5 linked regions of the Xenopus tropicalis genome follow. The protein of the gene in region 4 interacts with the protein of the main gene of each other region in a pairwise test. Links are inferred from orthologs where the notes say so. Each region holds a gene or a part of one and is shown on either strand. Other genes may lie near its edges.

Region 1 (4,202 bases), on a different chromosome or scaffold from region 4:
TGCCCAGAAACACATACTGATAAAAAGTTTTAGTATAAGTTTATGAAAAACATCTTGTGTTTACAGAGCCCTAAGATGAATTTGTGTGGCTTGGCAACATTTAGTAATACCACAATGTACTGCTGAATAGTTCTACATTACTAAACAGTATAGAAATCTCATTGTCCAAATGAGCAGGACTGTTATTTTGGGGTAAACTCATGGCAGATTGAAGCTCAGCTCCTTAGAAAACCTCTATGTACATATTTTATTGCATTTGGTGGTACACTATGGGGTGCTAAAATCTGATTGCTCAGAAAGACAGAAGGGAGATTGTAGATTGGGGGGGTCGATATTTTGTGACTACAAAGCAGAAAATAACTTCCTCCTGGATTAGAGAACTGTGCACAAAAAGTTTTAGCAGAGCCAGTGACAACTGGGGGGGGCTAGCAGGTACAGGGGAACAAGCGTGGCACTGGCTGATGTAGTAAATAAATATGTTTATGAAAAATGCCATATTTTAGAGAGGCTCTAAAATTATTTTGCTTTGGGGACAATTAACCTCTAGAAACATCAACAATGTGAGGAAAAATTGTGATTTTTTTTCAGTAGAACAAAAATCTCACCTTTATACAGCGGTCTGTTAGCAATATTTGTCCCTCCTTGAGTGTCTCTGACAAATAGCGGACAGGAAGCTCACAGGACAGAAGCGCTGGGAGGACAGACCTGTAGAAGAAAAAATTTTAAAACCAGATAGAGATATACCCTAAAATGGGAGATGGGGAGGAATCAATAAAAAAAAACAATAAAACCTGATGGAAAGAAGGATTCACCGTGCACAGTTAAAAGGGATTCTGTCATGATTTTTATGGTGTACTTTTATTACACTGTTTACATTGCATATAATTCACTCCACCATTTTAAATGATATTCTTGAACCAACAAATGTATTTTTTTAGTTGTACTATTGGTGTGTAGGCAGCCATCTCATTGCATTGTGCCTGAGTCTGAGCTTTCAGGAGGAGCCAGCACTACACAACATAACTGCTTTGGGATAAAATATTGTTTCTCTTACTTCTAGTTTCTAATACTGTAAGTGGAGGAGTCATGACTTGGGTGAGGCAGACTTGGATTTTTTCTATTGAGTGACAAGCAGCTGTCAGGGAGCTGTTTTCTTGCTACTTTTCCATTATTCTGCTGATTGTCCGTTTGGACCCCACATTACTTTTGTGAGCTGTACACAGTACAATATTCCTCTCTTTGTTTTATGCTCAAAAACTGTCAATTTTGTATTTGTACTACATTCCTGCCTTGCCCACAATTCCAAGGGCAATTACACACATTGCGACTGTAAGCTTTCTGTTGCACAAACAATTTATGGCTCTCTGGGCAAAGGAAAAACACTACTGCCTGTGAGCATGGATGCACCTTCTTGTCAGGTAAATGTATTTTGGAAAATGCTGACTGACACATCTTCCTTGGGATAAGCCCCTATTAAGTAGGGGCACCTGCTCTTCCTGGCATGGTTTTCATCTGGGTTACAAGGAGTGCATTCAGAACCTTTGGTAGGAATTCCGAGATGGAAAGGTGCAATTAGGGGGGTCACGACAGGGGTGATGCTTGTAGTTAGTTGGTGGGGTTCTTATGTATTACAAGTATTGTCATAATTGGAGAGTGGCTGGGGCAAATTAGCAGCATGATGGAGCTTGCATGGGGCATATTTTTTTAAATTTGGGCCCCCCAAAAGGGTGCGGCATCAGAAAAGTGGTTGGAGTTTGGGCAGATCAGGGATGCCCACATATAACTGGTCATGGTAATGGTCTAATTTAACCTTCATTTGGTAATTCAAATGTTGAGGTACATAACAGTTATTTAAACGAAACAAATAATAATCTAACACTACTGGATAGGAGCGAGAGACTGCACAAGGTTCCTGGTCGTCTCCTCTGCTCCTCTCAGAGCCTCCGTCTCTTTACACCATCCACACCCACTGCGCTCTCTCGTCTTAAACCTTTCTATCTCGCTGCTCCTTACCTCTGGAACTCTATCCCTGAATCCCTCCGTAGGGAACACTCACTAACTCTCTTTAAGAAAAAACTCAGCTGTTACCTTCTGGAGCACTAAGACATTATTTTGCCCAGTCCTGCGCTTAAGGGCAAATGCCCATACCTAGTGCTCTCTTACCTTCCAGTTTGTGCCTGTATGTTACCCAACCACTCAGATTGTAAGCTCTATGGGGCAGGGACCTCCTTCCTACTGTGTCTCATACCACATGGCACACACACACACACATATATATATATATATGTGTATTTATTTATTATATCACTCGTCCTCCCTGTGTGTAATTTTGTATTCTGTAAGACTGTACAGCGCTGCGTACCCTTGTGGCGCTTTATAAATAAAGTTATACATACATACATACAAGGAAACTGAGGGTCAAGCCCAGGACACAACCCTTCGAGACCTAGAAATTTTCCATAGATAATTTAGACAAATAGTATCTGCTTATTACAATTATAGTTAAAAAAATTATTTAGTGACAGATCCAATTTAACTCCTTGATGCAATACTCATATTTAGCAAACTTATACAACTGGAGAACAAGGGGTGTGTCACACAGTCCTAGACAGAGGACGTATGCAAGCTTATATAGACAACGCAGAGGTAACATCTATTCCAACAAGTCTAGCAAAGCCAGGAAGTTGAGCATAACGAGAGGCACGTGACCGGATCCTCTTACCTCCGTGCCGCTCCCGTTACGCAGAACAGAAATCTCCCGGCCGCCATCTTGGTGTTCCTTATAGCGAATTGAGCTCTCCTTTCATTGGATTCCAAAGTGCTTCGCTGCCTACGCAAGATCGCTTATGATTGGGTGTTACCCCTCTCCATAGTTATACGTCATCAGCTGACCACGGAAGGGTGGAAAGCTCTCAAAACATCACAAGATCTAAAGCTGCTGGAGGCGGTGAGAGTTCGCTGTGTACTGGAAGGATGTCGGTAGGTAACTGTATTAGAATAGGCGGTTTTTTTCAGTATATTCTTTATTCATATGACATTTTACCACATTTAAAGCTTGCAGAGAACTATTTCTTTAACTTTACTCGAAAACATACCAGGAGACTTTATTATGAGCGGCTTTACGAGTGACCTTATGAGTGAACTACTAAGATTCTTAGCTCAGCAATACAAATGAATGTGTGTGTGTGTGATGAAGTTCGGAAAGCAAACCGGACTTTTAATCATTGCTAAAGGGATCAATGGTTTTCTAGTGAGCGCTACTGTTACTAGGAGGAGCAACTTGGAAATGCCGAAGTGAATGTGAAGGCGCTGGGTCCTTAACCCCAGTGATCTGTCTCTGCAATGGACAGTTTTAATTCATTTAAAGGCGTTGCCCACCTTTGAGTTAACTTTTAATACGATGTAGAGAGTAATGTTCGGAGACAATCTGCAATTGGTCTTCTTTTTTAATTCTAGTTTATAATGATTTTACTTTTTGTTTGGCACCTCTCCAACTTGGAATTTCAGCAGTTATTTGGTTGCTAGGGTCCAAATTACCTTAGCAACCAGGGTGTGGTTTGAATGAAAGACTGATCTATGAACAGGAGAGAACCTGAATAGAAAAATAAGTAATATAAAGTAACTTTAACAATTAAACTGGAGCTTCAACAATTAAACTGGAGCTTCACAGAGCAATAGTTTTTTTTGACTCAGGGGTCAGTTGAAAGCTACAAAGAGTTTAAGGAAAAAGGCAAATCATTCAAAAACTATGAAAAACAAATAATGAAGACTAATTCAAAAGTTGCTTAGAATTAATTTAAAGGTGAATCACCCCTTTAAGGTGTATAGTTATTTCTAAGGAAACTTATGGGTGCTGAAGGTGTCACATTCAGTCTGGGGCTCCTAAGACACTTGTTAAGAAGCCATGAACAAACTTTATAAAAAAAAAAAAAAAAAAAACATTTCAGCCTTTCTAGTTTCTGCAGTCTGTGTACTACCCGGCAAGTGCCATGTAGCAGAGCTATCAAGTCTCCCAAATGAATTGGTAGTATCACAAACAATCCCGTCCAGCATGCCCTGCCTTCCCAAAAATCCTTATGAGCTCCCAAAGCTCACTGCACAGGCACAGTAAGCATTCCATGACATTACGTGCATTGTGTGTATGTGCAGTTACATCAAGCAAAAAACTTGCACTGGACTGGTTGACAGTTCTGCATATAGTG
Region 2 (4,246 bases), about 51 Mb from region 4:
TAGCATTTAGGTTTATGGGAACAGGGATTCCTACTTGTGTCTCAAGGCAGGACTTGTTAGTAGTTCTACTTTAAAGGATACTGGTTTCTGTAATGTTTCTCTATATCTTGTAGCCATTCTAACATGTCAGCTATGGAAGGACAGAGAGAAGAACGCTCCAAAATTGCTTCAAGACCAATTTTTTCAATGCTTGTCTCATACATGTAGAGGACAGATCCAACCACCTGACTTACAGAGTCCCTTATTCTCTGCAGCGTAGACCTGTAAAATTTAGCAATTGAAGAGTTACAAAATGTAGATAATCCTTGTATTCAGGAAATACTTTTTTTCAAGTGAAAATCTGATGCCCAGTTTGGCAACCTACAATATTTACTGCCTGTGATAATGCCCAACAATGTAAATAGCATTTTGTATTAGGCCATAAACAAGTCTGTACAGATTACACACATCCAAAAACCTAGACCTTTGGCTTTCATGTTTTAACTTGCTGTGGGTATGTGATTATTTTGCAATATCCTGCTGAGAGTAAAAGGTATAAAGTGATTAAAACTAGTACTGTGCAATTAGTAGTCACAATGTAATAATTTATTGTAGGAAAATATTAAACCTATTACTGATTTGGTTAGATTTTGTGGGAACCAAAAGGTAGTGATTACACAACTGACAATCATGTACTTCACACTGAAATACAACCAACCAGCTTGAGGTTATATTGTGGGGATATAAACCTTCCATACAAAATAAATTAACCTGTAACTTGTATGCAAGTGTGAGTATCAACGCCATTTCATATCTCTTCTTATTGAGGAAGAAGAAAATTGCTGCTAAAAATATAAGAATATTTATAAAGGCAAAACCTGCCGAGTACAAAAAAATGTGCATCCTATGAGAATGTATTGTCCAAAATCCATTCTTTTAGCAGTGTATCACTTTAGAACTAACAACTGCTATATCTACTCAGCAGAGTAGATTTAAGGTAAGGGAACATGGAGCGGATACTCTTTCTTTCACCTGCAGTTTTTACCCAGGCAGAGGAAAGTGGATCCACTGTCATGCGCTCCTTCCTGTAGAACCATTAACAGGCAGTGTCTGCCTGTGTGGAGCTACACATAGCGGATATTGGCGCAGAAACACTCAAGTATGCCTATTCGTGCTGATATCCGCTCAGTGTAGCACAATACACACTGAAGCTGTGTCAGTCAATGGAAAGATATCTACATTAAGTATGACAAGCAAGTAATTCAGTGTTTTCAGAACTGATGTACATGTAAAGTGATGCTTGTATCTTATCTAAAAATTTGCATGGTGATACCAGCACCGGAAGGGTTGAACCAACAACACATTGGACTTACAACTTCTGATTTAAGATCTCCAAATTAAACTCCATAGCTGCTTGTAGTTTAAAACGAAGATGTTCTTGCAGGTTAATAAAGCTGCTCAGGGGGGTTTTCTTAAACAGTACTCTCTGGCAGGCCTGTAGCTGTTCTGCTAGATTACTTAAAGAAGTTAGGTGTGGGTTACACTCTAAAAGTGTATTATTCCATTCTTCATGCAGTGGTTCTATGGCATCAAAGGACTTTCTCAGCGATTGCTGCACGGAAACAAAGGCTGGTTTCTCAGACATCCTATAAAACGATAAAACTGGTGAAATACATGTCATAAATCTGATGCTTTGCACTTAAAATAAAACTCAAGCCAACAAATCAGTTATACAGCGTTATGAATGCAAAAACACACAACACCTTTCTAAGTATTTAAACCCTTGAAAAAGATATACTCACATTAGCCTAGTAATATTTAACTCAGTATAGTAAAATGTATGCTGAAATGTCTTAGAGAAGTAGGCATATGTTTAAACTAAGTTGCAGCAAACATTTCTTAAAGGAGACATAAATTACATAAACTTTAATCTTGTAGACAATTATGAATAATATATGGGGCTGGTTTTACTTTGGTATAAAAATTAAAACTATCTGTAAGAACTGTCCCTTTTTGGAATTCCCTATAGATCCTCTCAGGTCCCTGTCCGTGTTTCAGATGAGAGGTGGGCATGTTCTAATAGTCCCTGCCAGAAGCACAGTAAAAGGGGGAGAGCCAATCACAGCCCTGCAGTCACACAGGCAAAGACAGGCTTCAGTTCCCTATCAGGTCAGTCTAGCTGCTGATTGGTTCCTATATAGTGTGCTGAGTGCCGCTGGCCTCCCCTGAACAACCTGGGAAAGGAGGTAGCCAGAAGTGGAACAGATAAATAAAATCAATAAATCAGCCCCAAACACTACTTTTTAAAGCACATTTCTTTTATATTTAGATGAGTACAAATCATTGGCACAATATGGTTTTTCACACAATATGTCCCCTTTATTTTAAAAACAATAGGCCAGATTATGGGTACATACCCGCTGGCATTTATCCGTGCGTTTTGATGTGTCATATCATGACAACCCAAGGGCCAAATGACTTCAGAGGGAGTGGACACCAATGCTAAAATTGCTTGCAAATCTATAATAGCAGCAATTAGGCAAACATTTGTTATCAGATTTGCTCTGACTCGAAGATTTTGGCACACATGCATAATTTATATTGTTTTAAAATCGCTTTATGTTGGCAATGATCAGTAATATGTGGCACCCGATAAAATCTAAGCCATAAAGTATTGTTAACTTTAACAAAAAAAACTGCTTAATTAGTTCTACCTATTATGGGAGTGGCTTTCTAGTACTTCCAGTGTTATGGGTATCAGTTTTTTTTGTTTTATTTTAAAGCAGGGGTAGGGAACCTATGGCTCGGGAGCCAGATGTGGCTCTTTTGATGGCTGCATCTGGCTCGCTGCCAAATCTTTAATAAAAAAAAAAATAACAGGGGGTGTGGCCTGCGCTCGGCAGATAGAAGACATGTTCTATACGCCGAGCACAGGCCACGCCCTCCTCCGCATTGCATCCAGCAACCGGCATCCTTGGGACCCACCCAACCTTGCCCCGCGGCCAAACATATTATAGGGAATTACATTTTAAAATATGTGGTGTTTATGGCTCCCTCAGCCAAAAAGGTTCCCGACCCCTGCTTTAAAGGTTAAACAACCTATGGCTACCTGTGCTGCATTTTTTCTTTTATTTTTTATACATAGTTGGTAAAAAAAAATCTATAGATATGGTACAGCTGGTATTTGTTTGCTGGAAAAGTTGGACCTAGACCTAGCAGTAGTTACTGCCAGGAGTTGTAAGGAACAGAGGCATTGTTGCATGCTTGGAACAGTGATTACAGGAAAAAATAAGTATATCCACCCCTATATTAGCAGTTACCACAGTGGAAGATGTTCTACATAACACTACCAGAATAACATTAATAAATCTAAGATTATTTTTATAAGGGCGAATCATCGGCTCAAATGTATATAAAAGGTGATATATTTCAGTATTGCTTTCAATTATTTACTAAGAAAAAAGTAAGGCTATCCGTATTACATTGATTCGTGTCCTTAAACAGCATTACAAACAATGTCATATATAATGTCATATAGAACAGAAAAGGTAAAATAAAAACAGCGTCAACTTCCCAATTCAAACGCACGTATTTCACCAGACCTGGAAAAGCTGCTTAGCTTGCCCGCTATCATTAGCACAACTGCAACGTGAATACATTCACCTTTTTTTTTAAAGCCGGAAATGGAAACCTACAGCCGCACGGCATGAAGGGAATTGTAGTTTAAAGTCTTGTTATTGCTATCGAGGTGACTGGCGCGACAATTGTTTATTCCTTATTTTCCTTGGTAACAATTGCAGTTTAAGTTGGTTTAATACCATAATTGTGCATGAGAGTAGCTAACGTAAATTTTGATTTGTCGGCGCTGCTATAAAGGATATTTTATGATAAATCGCTAGAAACTACAAATCCCAAAAATATTTAAATAAGAGGGAATTATTTCCGGATCGGAGGTAACGTTCGGTGGTTTCCGGTTTATAGAGAAGGTAGATTGCTTAACATTTTGGTTCTTCTCGGTGTGTGTTTGTGAAAAGATTATAGTGCCAGCATGAATGAGGAGGATGATAGGGGCAGGAAGCGGAGACCACACAGCCCGGAGACAGTAACTATAAAACAGGAAAGGATAAGCCCCGTCAGGCAGCACCGCACCCGGCGAACTCCAAGCCCTCGAAGCAGCGATGGGGGATCCCCTCACCGGCACCAAGGGCGCAGGCGAAGCAGGTAATACCATAAAAAAACAATTCAAAATTGTGTGTGTGTGTGTGTG
Region 3 (3,515 bases), on a different chromosome or scaffold from region 4:
CTCCATAGTAAAACACCAGTGTGGTAAAGGGGATGGCTACCCAGAAATATGAAATAGTGCATAATGAAAGCAAATGGAATTCAAAGCCAATTTCCAATATAATAAATAACACATTTTCAAATATTAGTTATTTGTAAACATAATTCCTAATGAAAGCATTGCCTATGGATCCCTTGCCACCCCCTGCTGGTCCAAAACCCACAATGTTCATTAGGCCTGGGAAGGTGAAAACAATGAGCTTTGGTGTAAAAAGGTGCAGGAACTTATGAGTTAGGCTATTTCAGCAGCAGATGTTTGAATGGACTAATGGCACAGCTAGAGGCCTAAGGGCCCTGATACGAATTTTGGTGCAGAACCTTCCTCATTTGTGAACCAAAACATCTGTATCACCAGTGGGTTAGTCCCTTACACACTACACCTGTACATGGCCCATTCATACATCAGTTTCTTTTTATTATGTGGGAAGATATGTCATTATGTAGAGCCACATGGGCCCATTAGGTCCAGATGAATTTGCAATGCCCTATAATTACACACCTTTAACTGACTAAAAATGGGAGATGCAGACAGCTCAGCTCAACAACAGGGTACAATCCATGTTTGAAAAAGATATTGCTGGTTTGCTTTACCAGACTAAGGTTTGGGGAAAGAAAATATGCCAACACCCAAATCCCTATGCAATGAATAGCACATCTGAGGCAGATTTACAGATAAATTTACTGTACTGTTCTAAAAGCAGGACCGATTGTGCCATTATAATGATTCCTGTGTCACTCATCCAAATGACATACTTCCCAGCTATATGATTATTTTTATGCTGTTCTGTGCAGATATTCTGGGAGTTTAGCAACTGACTGTCATTTTCAGGGAACCCTCAGAGAGTGACATTTCTAATGCATATATTGTACAGTGCTGGGGTACAGCACAAGCCACAATGGAAGAGGAACAGAGAAAATAAACATTACACTACACTGAACAATGCAAGACAAGTTCTAATTTTAATATTTGCTCCTTAAAGGGTAAGTAAAGCCCTAGAATAAGTTCAGTTAAATCATTTCCCTTCCAGCTGCTGAACTACAGTTCCTGGAATCCCACTAGAGTTGTAGTGCAATAAGCTGGAGGAACAAAAAAGGCACTGCCCTGGGCTGGTTGACACATTGTATTTCCTCATGTCCAGGTCCCCAGCTTTTCTGCTCGCGTGAAGAGGGTAATTTTTTTAACCCTCGCTGACGTTATAGATCTTTGGTGCCTGGGATATGCTATTACTGGGCACACATGGGCAGCTCCGACTGTATGAGCCAAGCACTGTGGACTAAAAGGCAACATATGTGGAGGGCTAAACTTTGCTAAGGCACTGTGTGGTATCCAGTAATGTACTATAGTCTATAGCAGTGCTGTCCAACTTCTGTGGTGCCGAGGGACGGAATTTTTCCATCCTACATGGTGGAGGGCCGATAATGGAAGCCAGTTTGACCACTCCCCCTTTTAAGCCACACCCACTTGAAACCACACCTATGTTATCACATGACCATACCCATATTAATGGTGGTAGTACAGCAAAAACCTGCCATACTCTGCCTTCCCTACCCTGCCTGTGTGTGCCATATTCTGCCTGCCCTATGCTACCTGTGTGCTGGCACTGCTCCTACAGTTTGCACAATAACTATATATTAAAAAACTTTTTAATTGCAGTACCACCTCAGTATATGTTTTTTGTAGTGTGCAGGGTTTATTTGTGGGTGAACAATGTGGGTGATTTCAGCCTGAGCCTGAGGTGTGAACAATGCAGGGGGTGAACAATGTAGGGATTAAAAGGTGTGAAAAACACAGGGTGATTACATGTTTAAACAATACAGGGGGATTACAGCCTGAATCTGAGATGTGAGCAATGCAGGGGGCCAGTTAATCTCAGTACTGATACCATTTAAAGCTTACACAAAGGTAAGCCATCAAAGCAGCCAGACAGGTGGGGGGCCACACAGAGGGGGGTCGGCCCGCGGGCCGCCAGTTGGACAGCCCTGGTCTATAGTAACACAATACATTTACAGAGGTCTGTTCTCCATTTTAAGGCTGACAAGCTGCACATCGTGACCGTTCATGTTCCACAGATATTATGATTAGTGAAGACACTGTAGTTATAAGGTAACGTACTGCTTCTTTGTCTTGGATTTCAACTTCCAGTTCTTGTAATCTGTTGCTGAGCTCCTTGTTCCTCTCTTTTTCCTTCTCTATCTCATCACATTGTGCCTCAAGTTCTCCAATCTAGAAAACAAAAGCATATTGTATATACCAGTGTCATGAACAATGATTAAACAGCAGATACACTGACACATAAAGGGGCATTTTTAGTCTGTGTGTATATAGTAAGGGATCAACATTACACCCCATATATTTAACTCTTTTCTAAGTACTTTTCTAAGTAGATGTGTAGTGGCAACGAACAAACCTAGGATCGCTTAATGTAAGGCATATACTGTATACACTGGAAGAGTTTTAAAGGAGAAGTAAAACTAAAGAAGTAGGCTAAAAATGTTGAACATTCTGTTTTGGGCTTCTGTCCAGCCCAAGGCAACCACAGCAGACCTGTGCCTCCAAAGATGCCCCAGTAGCTCCCCATCTTCTGATCTACTGATTCCCTGCACATGCTCTGTGCTGCTGTCACTTACTGACTTTAAGGTGGCCGTGCATGGGCCAATTTCAGTTGCCAGTATCGGGCAGACCAATTCAGCAGCTTATCTGCCTGTGTATGGGCACCACCGATGGGCCTCCCTGATTGATCTCGAACGCCAGGCTTGATTTTTCTATTGGCGCCTATGCCCGCTGTTTTAATTAAATTGTTTGGCCCTAGGGCCTGTATGTGGGCATATCAGGAGAAGATACACTTGCTTGGTGACCTCTTTTAGTGTATGGCCACCTTTAGGGACTGCCGCATAATTTACTGTATATACAAAATATAAATGTCTCAATATAAGGCATATTAGTAACTTACTCACAGTGAGTAATAATCAGCCCTGTAACATCAGCTTATATTACAGGCCAGCCTCATTTTCTACTTGATAATTTGTGACAACCCCTAAGCTTGGCTTCTCAACAGCTTCTCAGGGCCCACTGATCATGTGAGTGTCACTGACACTTTCCAAGATGGGGAGCTCCTGTGACAACTGTAAAGACTTAGATCATTGTTGTTATTAAGATGCTGAAACTTTAGGCTGGTGCAGTAAGTTCATTTTATAAAGTATCGCATTTTCTAGCCGTATTCATTTTAGGGTTTAGTTCTCCTTTAAGGTTACAATCATGCTGGTATGTGATATTTGAGTGACTTCTACTTTGTACATTAAAGGGGTTGTTCACCTAACTTTTAGTATGTTATAGAATGTCCTATTCATGTCAACGTTGCAATTGTTTCATTATTGGTTTTTTTTTACAGTTTTTGAATTGCATGCCTCCCTTTTCTACATCCTTCCAGCTTTCAAATAGGAGTCACTGACCCCAGCTGCCACAAATCTATTGCTCTA
Region 4 (3,515 bases):
GCAGGGTTGTGGGTAAGTAGTTATATTCTATTGCATATGCATATATATAATATATATGGCCAAAATTGTTGGCACCCCAGAAGTTTTTCCAGAAAATCAAGTATTTCTCACTGAAAAGTATTGCAGTAACACATGTTTTGCTATACACATGTTTATTGCCTTTGTGTGTATTGGAACAGAACAAAAAAGGGAGGTAAAAAAGCAAATTAGACATAATGTCACAAAAAACTCCAAAAATGGGCTGGACAAAATTATTGGCACCCTTAACTTAATATTTGGTTGCACACCCTTTGGAAAAAATAACTGAAATCAGTAGCTTCCTATAACCATCAATAAGCTTCTTGCACCTCTCAATGGGAATTTTGGACCACTCTTCCTTTGCAAACTGCTCCAGTTCTCTCTTATTGGAAGGGCGCCTTTTCCCAACAGCAATTTTAAGATCTCTCCATAAATGTTCAATGGGATTTAGATCTGGACTCATTGCTGGCCACTTCAGAACTCTCCAGTGCTTTGTTGCCATCCATTTCTGGGTGCTTTTTGACATATGCAAACCCAGCTTTCTGACACTGGGCTCTACAGTGCGACCCAAAATCCTTTGGAAATCCTCAGATTTCATGATGCCTTGCACACATTCAAGGCACCCAGTGCCAGAGGCAGCAAAACAACCCCAAAACATCATTGAACCTCCACCATATTGATGGTGATGTGCTTTACCAAAAAGCTCTATCTTGGTCTTATCTGTCCACAAGACGTTTTCCCAGAAGGATTGTGGCTTATTGAAATACTTTTTGGCAAACTGTAGTCTTGCTTTTTTTATGTCTCATAGCGTTTCATTTCATTTAAATGTCGACTGATAGCTTGCGCTGACACTGATGCCCCCTGAGCCTGCAGGACAGCTTGAATTTCTTCGGAACTTGTTTGGGGCTGCTTATCCACCATCCCGACTATCCTGCGTTGCAAACTTTCATCAATTTTTCTCTTCTGTCCTCGTCCAGGAAGATTAGCTACAGTGCCATGGGTTGCAAACTTCTTGATAATGTTGCACACTGTGGACAAAGGCAAATCTAGATCTCTGGAGATGGACTTTGTAACCTTGAGATTGTTGATATTTTCCCACAATTTTGGTTCTCAAGACAGTTTTCTTCTCCTCTTTCTGTTGTCCATGCTTAGTGTGGCACACACAGACACACAATGCAAAGATTAAGTCAACTTCTCTTCTTTTTATCTGTTTTCAGGTGTGATTTTTATATTGCCCACACCTGTTACTATTCCCAGGTGAGTTTAAAGGAGCATCACATGTTTGAAACAATCTTATTTATCCACAATTTTGAAAGGGTGCCAATAATTTTGTCCAGCCCATTTTTGGAGTTTTGTGTGACATTATGTCCAATTTGCTTTTTTTTCCCTCCCTTTTTTGTTCTGTTCCAATACACACAAAGGGAATAAATAAATAGATAAATAAATATATATATATTTTATTAAAATTTGGCGTATTATCTCCAAAAATGAATATTTACTATAACATCAGCAGTATACTAAAAGGTGAATAGAAGAAGTACTGGTAAATTACCTTTACATTGGTGTAAACCTTTACTCAGAGCAAAGATAATTTTCATCTTTCCACATGCAAAATTTCTTTATTTAGAGTACAAAAATGATTTTTTGGAGAAATCTCCCTGGGTTCAGGCTGGTGAACTTCCATTACAAAACAGAGCAGCCACCTTTTACATCTAATCTACACATCCTCTCATTGTTTTTTTTTTTAGTAGGTGACTTCAGCTTATTTTAATTATTTATCTCTAATTTCTATTATTTATTTAACGAGCAGGTGGCAACTTTGTATGTGGTGCAATTCTCTTCTCCCAGTGACCACAAAGCAGGTGCTTATTTTTGAATTCCTGTCTTTGAGGCAAGTTTTGGTTAAAACCCCAATATAGATACAAACTTTACATTAGAAAGTTTCTACCTTTTAGGTTTTAATTTCAAACTCAATTACAAAGGGAGTGACAGTGGTAAGATATATTGGGTTTCTGTTTCAATGATACAGGTATTCAGGTCCAGCAGTGTTGACTTCCATTTCCCTGCCATTTTACTTCTTTACAGGCCTTTAATCAGAGAGAATGGCATTGTGGAAATTGGAGTCTTGGCTGGGGGACAACAGAATGCTGCCACAGTGCTTCAGTGATGCTTGTAGCAACATCCAATGATGCAGTAAATAGCAAAGGCTGCTTATGGGCTTGAACTTTTAGCAGGTGGCAGCCAGATATTTACAGACAGTTTAAATAATGTTTGTGTATATCATTCTATCTTCCAGACTGGAAATGCCCAAAGATGAACTACCAAACCACAACTGCATAAAACACCTGCGCTCTGTGGTGCAGCAACAGCAGATACGGATAGGGGAGCTGGAAAAAGCAGCTGCTGAGAGCAAGCACCAGCTCTCTGAACAGGTAATGTCTTTGCATTCATTTTGTATACAATTTTAAGGGCTAGGACACACAGAGCATTGGCTACGCTGCTCTCAGGCTGAGAAAAGAGGATCCATTCCCTTCCACATCTCCATGTATCTGCACTGACAGGCACAGCTTCTGTCTGAGTACAGGTACACCGAGCAGAACGGAGTTTGGACTGAAAAATGGGAATGCAGGCATTTTTGGGCTGATCTCCATTCTGTGTACCTGCACTCAGGCAGAAGCTGTACTTGTCATTGCAGATACACAGAGCTGTGGAAGAAAGCAGTTTTAGTTCAAGACCATTGATCAAGCCAAGTTTTTCTCTCTGCATTCATCTGCCCCCAATTTTGAACAGTTCCACAGCTATAGAAACAGGCCACTCTTCTGGCCAAGGACAACTTCTTTCCTTATTACTAAGCAACATTGTAATGGAAAATATTTAGTGTCCTTATCTATTAAAGCATGCTGAGCATTTGTATTGTTTATTTTGATTTACTTTAATTCATACCATTTCTGTATTTTGTCAGATTTTGTTTTTAACCATATTAAAAAAGGCATAAAAACCTTGTTATACCTAAAGTTAAATAAAATAAATTATTTTTTATTTTGACCAAATGTGTCCATGTGTGCCTCTTTAACATCCACAGAAAAGGGATATCCAGTTGCTGAAAGCCTATATGAGAGCCATCCGAAGCGCCAATCCAAACCTACAGAACCTAGAAGAGACTATAGAGTACAATGAAATCCTTGAGTAAGTTTTATAGTATTAAATGCACAGTTTAGGCTTTCATATTACCTAACTAACATAGTAACCCTTCATATGCCATAATGTTTGAAATATTGGCAAATTGAATGCCACAAAGCTGTCTAGGTTTAGTTAAAAAAAGACCCTGGTTGTGACTGTGTGGTCAGAGACAAAAGGCCCATAATCTTCTATATCTGGTTTATCCGCCTTACTTAAATGGTCTTGTTTCATAGTGGCTTTAGTTTCAGGTTACATGGTGTTTAAGGGTGAAGACACACTGAGCTACTAGTAGCAGCTACTTGTCATAGCTACTAAAC
Region 5 (4,144 bases), on a different chromosome or scaffold from region 4:
TTAGTACTGACCCAATACACATTATATATGTGTTGCACTGAACTATTCTTAACGGGGTAGGTCACCTTTGGTGTTTTCCAAGGAGCTAAACTAAGTGTTTGGAAGGTGAGCTCCCCCTTAAAGGCTTGGACCAAAAACGGTTCAAATACTATACTATGGGCCTATGCGGACCAGTCAGGCAAACGCCAGAGAAAAGTTCTAATCCAGTACTCATATGATGCGATTAATAAGGGGTCAATATGCTGCCTACTCTCTTACCAGCGTCTGTACCACTGCCTCCAGGCACGGTTGGAACAAGGAATCTGTAGTGATCATTTGGGCCACAGTGGAATATTCCATGATCTCAGAGCACAGACAGACTGACACAAGGAAGGAACACACTCACCTCCTTCGAGCAGCAGACGGATGTTTTCTATGTTATGGATCTGAACGCCATCACTGCTGGCCAGTGCGTGTAATAACGCCGTCTTCCCTGCATAATAATCCGTTTAACATACAATGTGACTTCCCGTTTATTAAGGCGGTATTCATTCCCGAATACAAGGTCCCTGTCATTCCTGCTAAGGGAGGGGTAAAACCCAGCTTAAACCCCTAAATCCACTTACCATTTTTGTCAGCTGCATTTACATCAGCGCTGAGCTCCAGCAGGCGTTGCAGGCACGGCAGTCGCTCTGGTTCTTCACTAGCCAAGTCCAATGGACTGCTTTCATGGATCTGTATATACAGGAGGATAAAATACAAGAAAAGGTAAATTATGTGACACTGCACTTCTAGATCACCTTGTCTCACACAATGGGTTTTTGCCAAGTAAGTTGGTAGTGAGCAGCAGAAGAAATTGTTTACAATGATAAGCCAGCCTATCAGAGTTTTGTGCCTCTCCCAGGTCACTGTGCATTGGTGGAATGCAGAACCCAGAACTGGAGAGATCAGCTTTGCCTGAGGGGATAGGATTCCCTTAAGGGCCTGGCATAAGGTATAGAAACATGCTGAGTATTTCCAGTAGGGTACAGGCCACCAGGATAGAGGCCTGTGCAAGAACTCATTTTTGATATTCGGTCCCTCAGCCCACAACCTGCAACCCAAACCCACATTTTAACCTGCTTGGACCTGCTACCTAACCAGATCTGTGACTTGCTGACCACCTTTAAACTGGAAGTGACATCATCAAAAGTGGGTGGGGGTAGAAGTTTAAGAAAAAGTTTAAAGGGGTAAAATATAGATAATATAAGGACTATAGGTCGCCCACAACCTGACCCGCATCTATAACTACATCTGAAAAACCTACCCGCAGGTACCAAACCACTGCAGGACACCAGAATACAGCTGAAACTTGATCCTTACCCTGTCCCTCTTGTTAATATCAGCTCCGCTCTGCACCAACAGCTCCACCATTTCTGGCTGGTTTCTCAGTACCGCAATGTGTAGCGCCGTGTAGTAGGTCACCGGATCTGGTGAGGGAAACATTGCAAGTGAGAGTTACTTAAGCGCTACAGCTACTATATCCTCTGCACCATGGGCCAAAGCTGGTGAGCTAAATGCAAAAGGTGCTGCAAAGCCACTCTAGATTGGCTGAAAGTGACTTGGCCAACCCATTAGCAGCACACAAGCCACAGCCTGATAAACAGATTCATAACATACTGGTGGCCATACATACACATGGCCACAATCTAACATTCCTTTTGTTCAAGCCACCAACCCAACCAATCAGAACTGCAGAAAGTGAAGAGGAGCTGCGGATCCAGGGTCGGACTGGCTTCCACAGTTCCAGAGTCTCCCTATGGGCCCCCAAGCTGTGACAGTTTCTATCAGCCCCTTCTTATTTCCTCCACAATATCTAATTGCCCTAATGTCAGGTTCTAAGGTCTGACTGTCCCACTTGGTCGGTCAACATGCTCAAAATCATTGGAATCATCCAACCAAACCTTGGCCACCTTTAAACTAACTAGAAACATAGTTTATTAGGAGCTCACCATACCTACCCTCAAAGCTGAGATCTGCCCCAAACTGCAGGAGGATTTTGGCCGACGGAACCATCCCCAGCTCGGCCACCTTCAGCAGCGAGTAACTGACTCCCTCCTTGTAAAAGGAAGACTGAGAATGCCTCTCCAGTAACTCATTCAGCGCCAGGAACTCCTCACTCTCTCCAACCAGGAAACTAAAAGCAGAAAATACACGTGATTCCAGGCCACCAATAGCATGGTACTCTAAGCGCTTACTAATGATAAGGCTCCAATACCTGCTTCTGGTGTCTGCCGCCACCGGCTGTTCAGGGTCCTGAATACCCAGAGCCCCCAGGATCTCATCCACCAAAGGCTGGTACTCGAATATAATCCTCCGAAAGCCATGGAGGAATGGCATAGTGGCAAGAGAGTCTCAATCTTCCACCACCAGCAGAACTGCTGCCTGGTCCTTCAGTACAGAAAAAAACACAGGCAGGTGTGAGTCAGTCATAGGGCTGTTTCCTCTTCCCACCTCCACATTATTAGAAACCCAGAGAAGGCTAATGTAAGGTCAAATAGCATAACCATAACACTGCATTATAACTAAGTAGCACATAGCCTAAAGCCCTCACACGGTCCCTGGCCCTGCACTGGGCTCACAACAAAATAAGGATTTCTGCGTTTTGACTTGATGGCGATCACATTCAAACATTTTGGGACTATTTTAAGTCACAACTATGACATCTATGCGCCCCATGCAACATACACAAACATCTCCCACTTACCTACGCCCCGCCGGAAGCTGCTCTGCTGAATACGGAACACAGAGCTCCTCAGCGAGTGGGCGTGGTTGTTGGACGTGCTGTAGGCGCAGGCGCACCAGAATGAAGGAGATGGCGATGCGTTATGTAGGACAGCAGAGGGCGCTCGCCAATTAGCTAATGAGCCGTGAGCCGTGCCGGCAAATGCTGTAAATTGTTTCATATTAGGACTGAAATGTGAGACTGCCGGGGTTGGGGGGAATCGGAAGAGTCCATCCTGCCAGGGGTTAGTTAGTAAGTAGCCTGGCTAGCGGGGCGGGTAGCTCATACTGATACATATATAGATATATTAATTACAGGGGGTTGGAAAATTATTTTTTATGTAATCCTGTTAGAAGCAGTATAGGCCTGGCTGTTTCTCCTCTCGACATTGCTGATTCTGACTCCTTAAACAGTGTAGCAGAAGCCAACTGACTAACACTTAACTTTTGCTACATTGTTTCAACAGTCAGAACCAGAGAAGGGAAAAGGCAAATACATGTTTGGTGGAGGGAGGTCCTCATAGGCCTGATTTAGTGCCAGTGGGTGTCACCACTGTGCTATTAGGGTCATACACTTGATTCTAGCCCTATATCATTTACCTAATAATCACTGTGGCACCAAGCCTGGCAAAATCATTGCCTTTTGGCAACCGTAATCAGGTAGGGCAGCACGTTAAGCAGCCTAGCAGCCTCTCATGCCTTAGGAGGCTGTTCCCGCTGAATTTTGCTTAGTACAGGGGAATCCCTATTCTGCCATACATAGTAAGTTAGGTTGAAAAAAGACGTACTTCCATCACGTTCATGCCTATATATAACCTGCCTAACTTCTAGTTGATCCAGAGGAAGGCAAAAAACACCATCTGAAGCCTCTCTAATTTGCCGCAGGGGAAAAAAATTCCTTACTGACTCCAAGATGGCAATCGGACCAGTCCCTGGATCTCCCATAACCCTGTATTCCCTCACTTGTTAAGTAGCCATCCAACCCCTTCTTAAAGCTATAAGAATCCTTTCCGAATATTTAAACGGAACCTACCTACTTCTAAACGGAGTGGGTTCCCTACTGGTAAATAAAGTATTAGAGAGGTTATTATATGATCCCCTTATATATTTATACATAGTTATCACGTCACCTCTTAAGCGCATCTTGGCCAGTCTTTCTTCATAACTGAGACTTTCCATACCCTTTACCAGCTTAGTTGCCCTTCTCTGGACCCTCTCTAATTCAATAATGTCCTGTTTAAGCACTGGAGACCAAAACTGAACATCATATTCTAGATGGGGCCTTACCAGCGCTCTGTAAAGGGGAAAAATAACACCCTCCTCCCGTGAATCTATACCCCTTTTAATACAGCTCAAAACCTTGTTTGCCCTTGCAGCTGCTGCCTGGCATTGTCTGCTACAA

What was found.
Region 1: the proteins of rnf41 (region 4) and isca2 interact in binary tests that used the Homo sapiens proteins (3 or more experiments, as listed by UniProt). The link is inferred for Xenopus tropicalis from reciprocal best matches to the Homo sapiens genes RNF41 and ISCA2.
Region 2: the proteins of rnf41 (region 4) and c1orf109 interact in binary tests that used the Homo sapiens proteins (3 or more experiments, as listed by UniProt). The two-hybrid records come from large-scale screens. The link is inferred for Xenopus tropicalis from reciprocal best matches to the Homo sapiens genes RNF41 and AIRIM.
Region 3: the proteins of rnf41 (region 4) and homer2 interact in binary tests that used the Homo sapiens proteins (3 or more experiments, as listed by UniProt). The link is inferred for Xenopus tropicalis from reciprocal best matches to the Homo sapiens genes RNF41 and HOMER2.
Region 5: the proteins of rnf41 (region 4) and asb6 interact in binary tests that used the Homo sapiens proteins (3 or more experiments, as listed by UniProt). The link is inferred for Xenopus tropicalis from reciprocal best matches to the Homo sapiens genes RNF41 and ASB6.

The regions. Positions count from the first base shown.
Region 1 is NC_030684.2:82,073,841-82,078,042, forward strand, and holds the start of isca2 (iron-sulfur cluster assembly 2 homolog, mitochondrial), read right to left. Parts: upstream 2,804-4,202; 5' UTR 2,770-2,803; coding exon 2,723-2,769; exon of another isoform or gene 2,680-2,722; intron 706-2,679; coding exon 606-705; intron 1-605. Other genes in the region: npc2 (NPC intracellular cholesterol transporter 2), read left to right, coding at 2,974-2,979. UniProt on the Homo sapiens protein: Involved in the maturation of mitochondrial 4Fe-4S proteins functioning late in the iron-sulfur cluster assembly pathway. May be involved in the binding of an intermediate of Fe/S cluster assembly.
Region 2 is NC_030678.2:86,153,970-86,158,215, reverse strand, and holds the start of c1orf109 (uncharacterized protein C1orf109 homolog), read right to left. Parts: upstream 2,815-4,246; 5' UTR 2,573-2,814; coding exon 2,397-2,572; intron 1,626-2,396; coding exon 1,353-1,625; intron 262-1,352; coding exon 82-261; coding exon of another isoform or gene 66-81; exon of another isoform or gene 35-65; intron 1-34. UniProt on the Homo sapiens protein: Part of the 55LCC heterohexameric ATPase complex which is chromatin-associated and promotes replisome proteostasis to maintain replication fork progression and genome stability.
Region 3 is NC_030679.2:105,307,809-105,311,323, forward strand, and holds part of homer2 (homer protein homolog 2), read right to left. Parts: intron 2,263-3,515; coding exon 2,152-2,262; intron 1-2,151. UniProt on the Homo sapiens protein: Postsynaptic density scaffolding protein. Binds and cross-links cytoplasmic regions of GRM1, GRM5, ITPR1, DNM3, RYR1, RYR2, SHANK1 and SHANK3.
Region 4 is NC_030678.2:137,453,981-137,457,495, forward strand, and holds part of rnf41 (E3 ubiquitin-protein ligase NRDP1), read left to right. Parts: coding exon 1-12; intron 13-2,314; coding exon 2,315-2,450; intron 2,451-3,100; coding exon 3,101-3,204; intron 3,205-3,515. UniProt on the Homo sapiens protein: Acts as E3 ubiquitin-protein ligase and regulates the degradation of target proteins. Polyubiquitinates MYD88. Negatively regulates MYD88-dependent production of pro-inflammatory cytokines.
Region 5 is NC_030684.2:22,271,560-22,275,703, forward strand, and holds the start of asb6 (ankyrin repeat and SOCS box protein 6), read right to left. Parts: upstream 2,807-4,144; 5' UTR 2,726-2,806; intron 2,410-2,725; 5' UTR 2,359-2,409; coding exon 2,237-2,358; intron 2,156-2,236; coding exon 1,980-2,155; intron 1,449-1,979; coding exon 1,342-1,448; intron 715-1,341; coding exon 606-714; intron 473-605; coding exon 386-472; intron 1-385. UniProt on the Homo sapiens protein: Probable substrate-recognition component of a SCF-like ECS (Elongin-Cullin-SOCS-box protein) E3 ubiquitin-protein ligase complex which mediates the ubiquitination and subsequent proteasomal degradation of target proteins.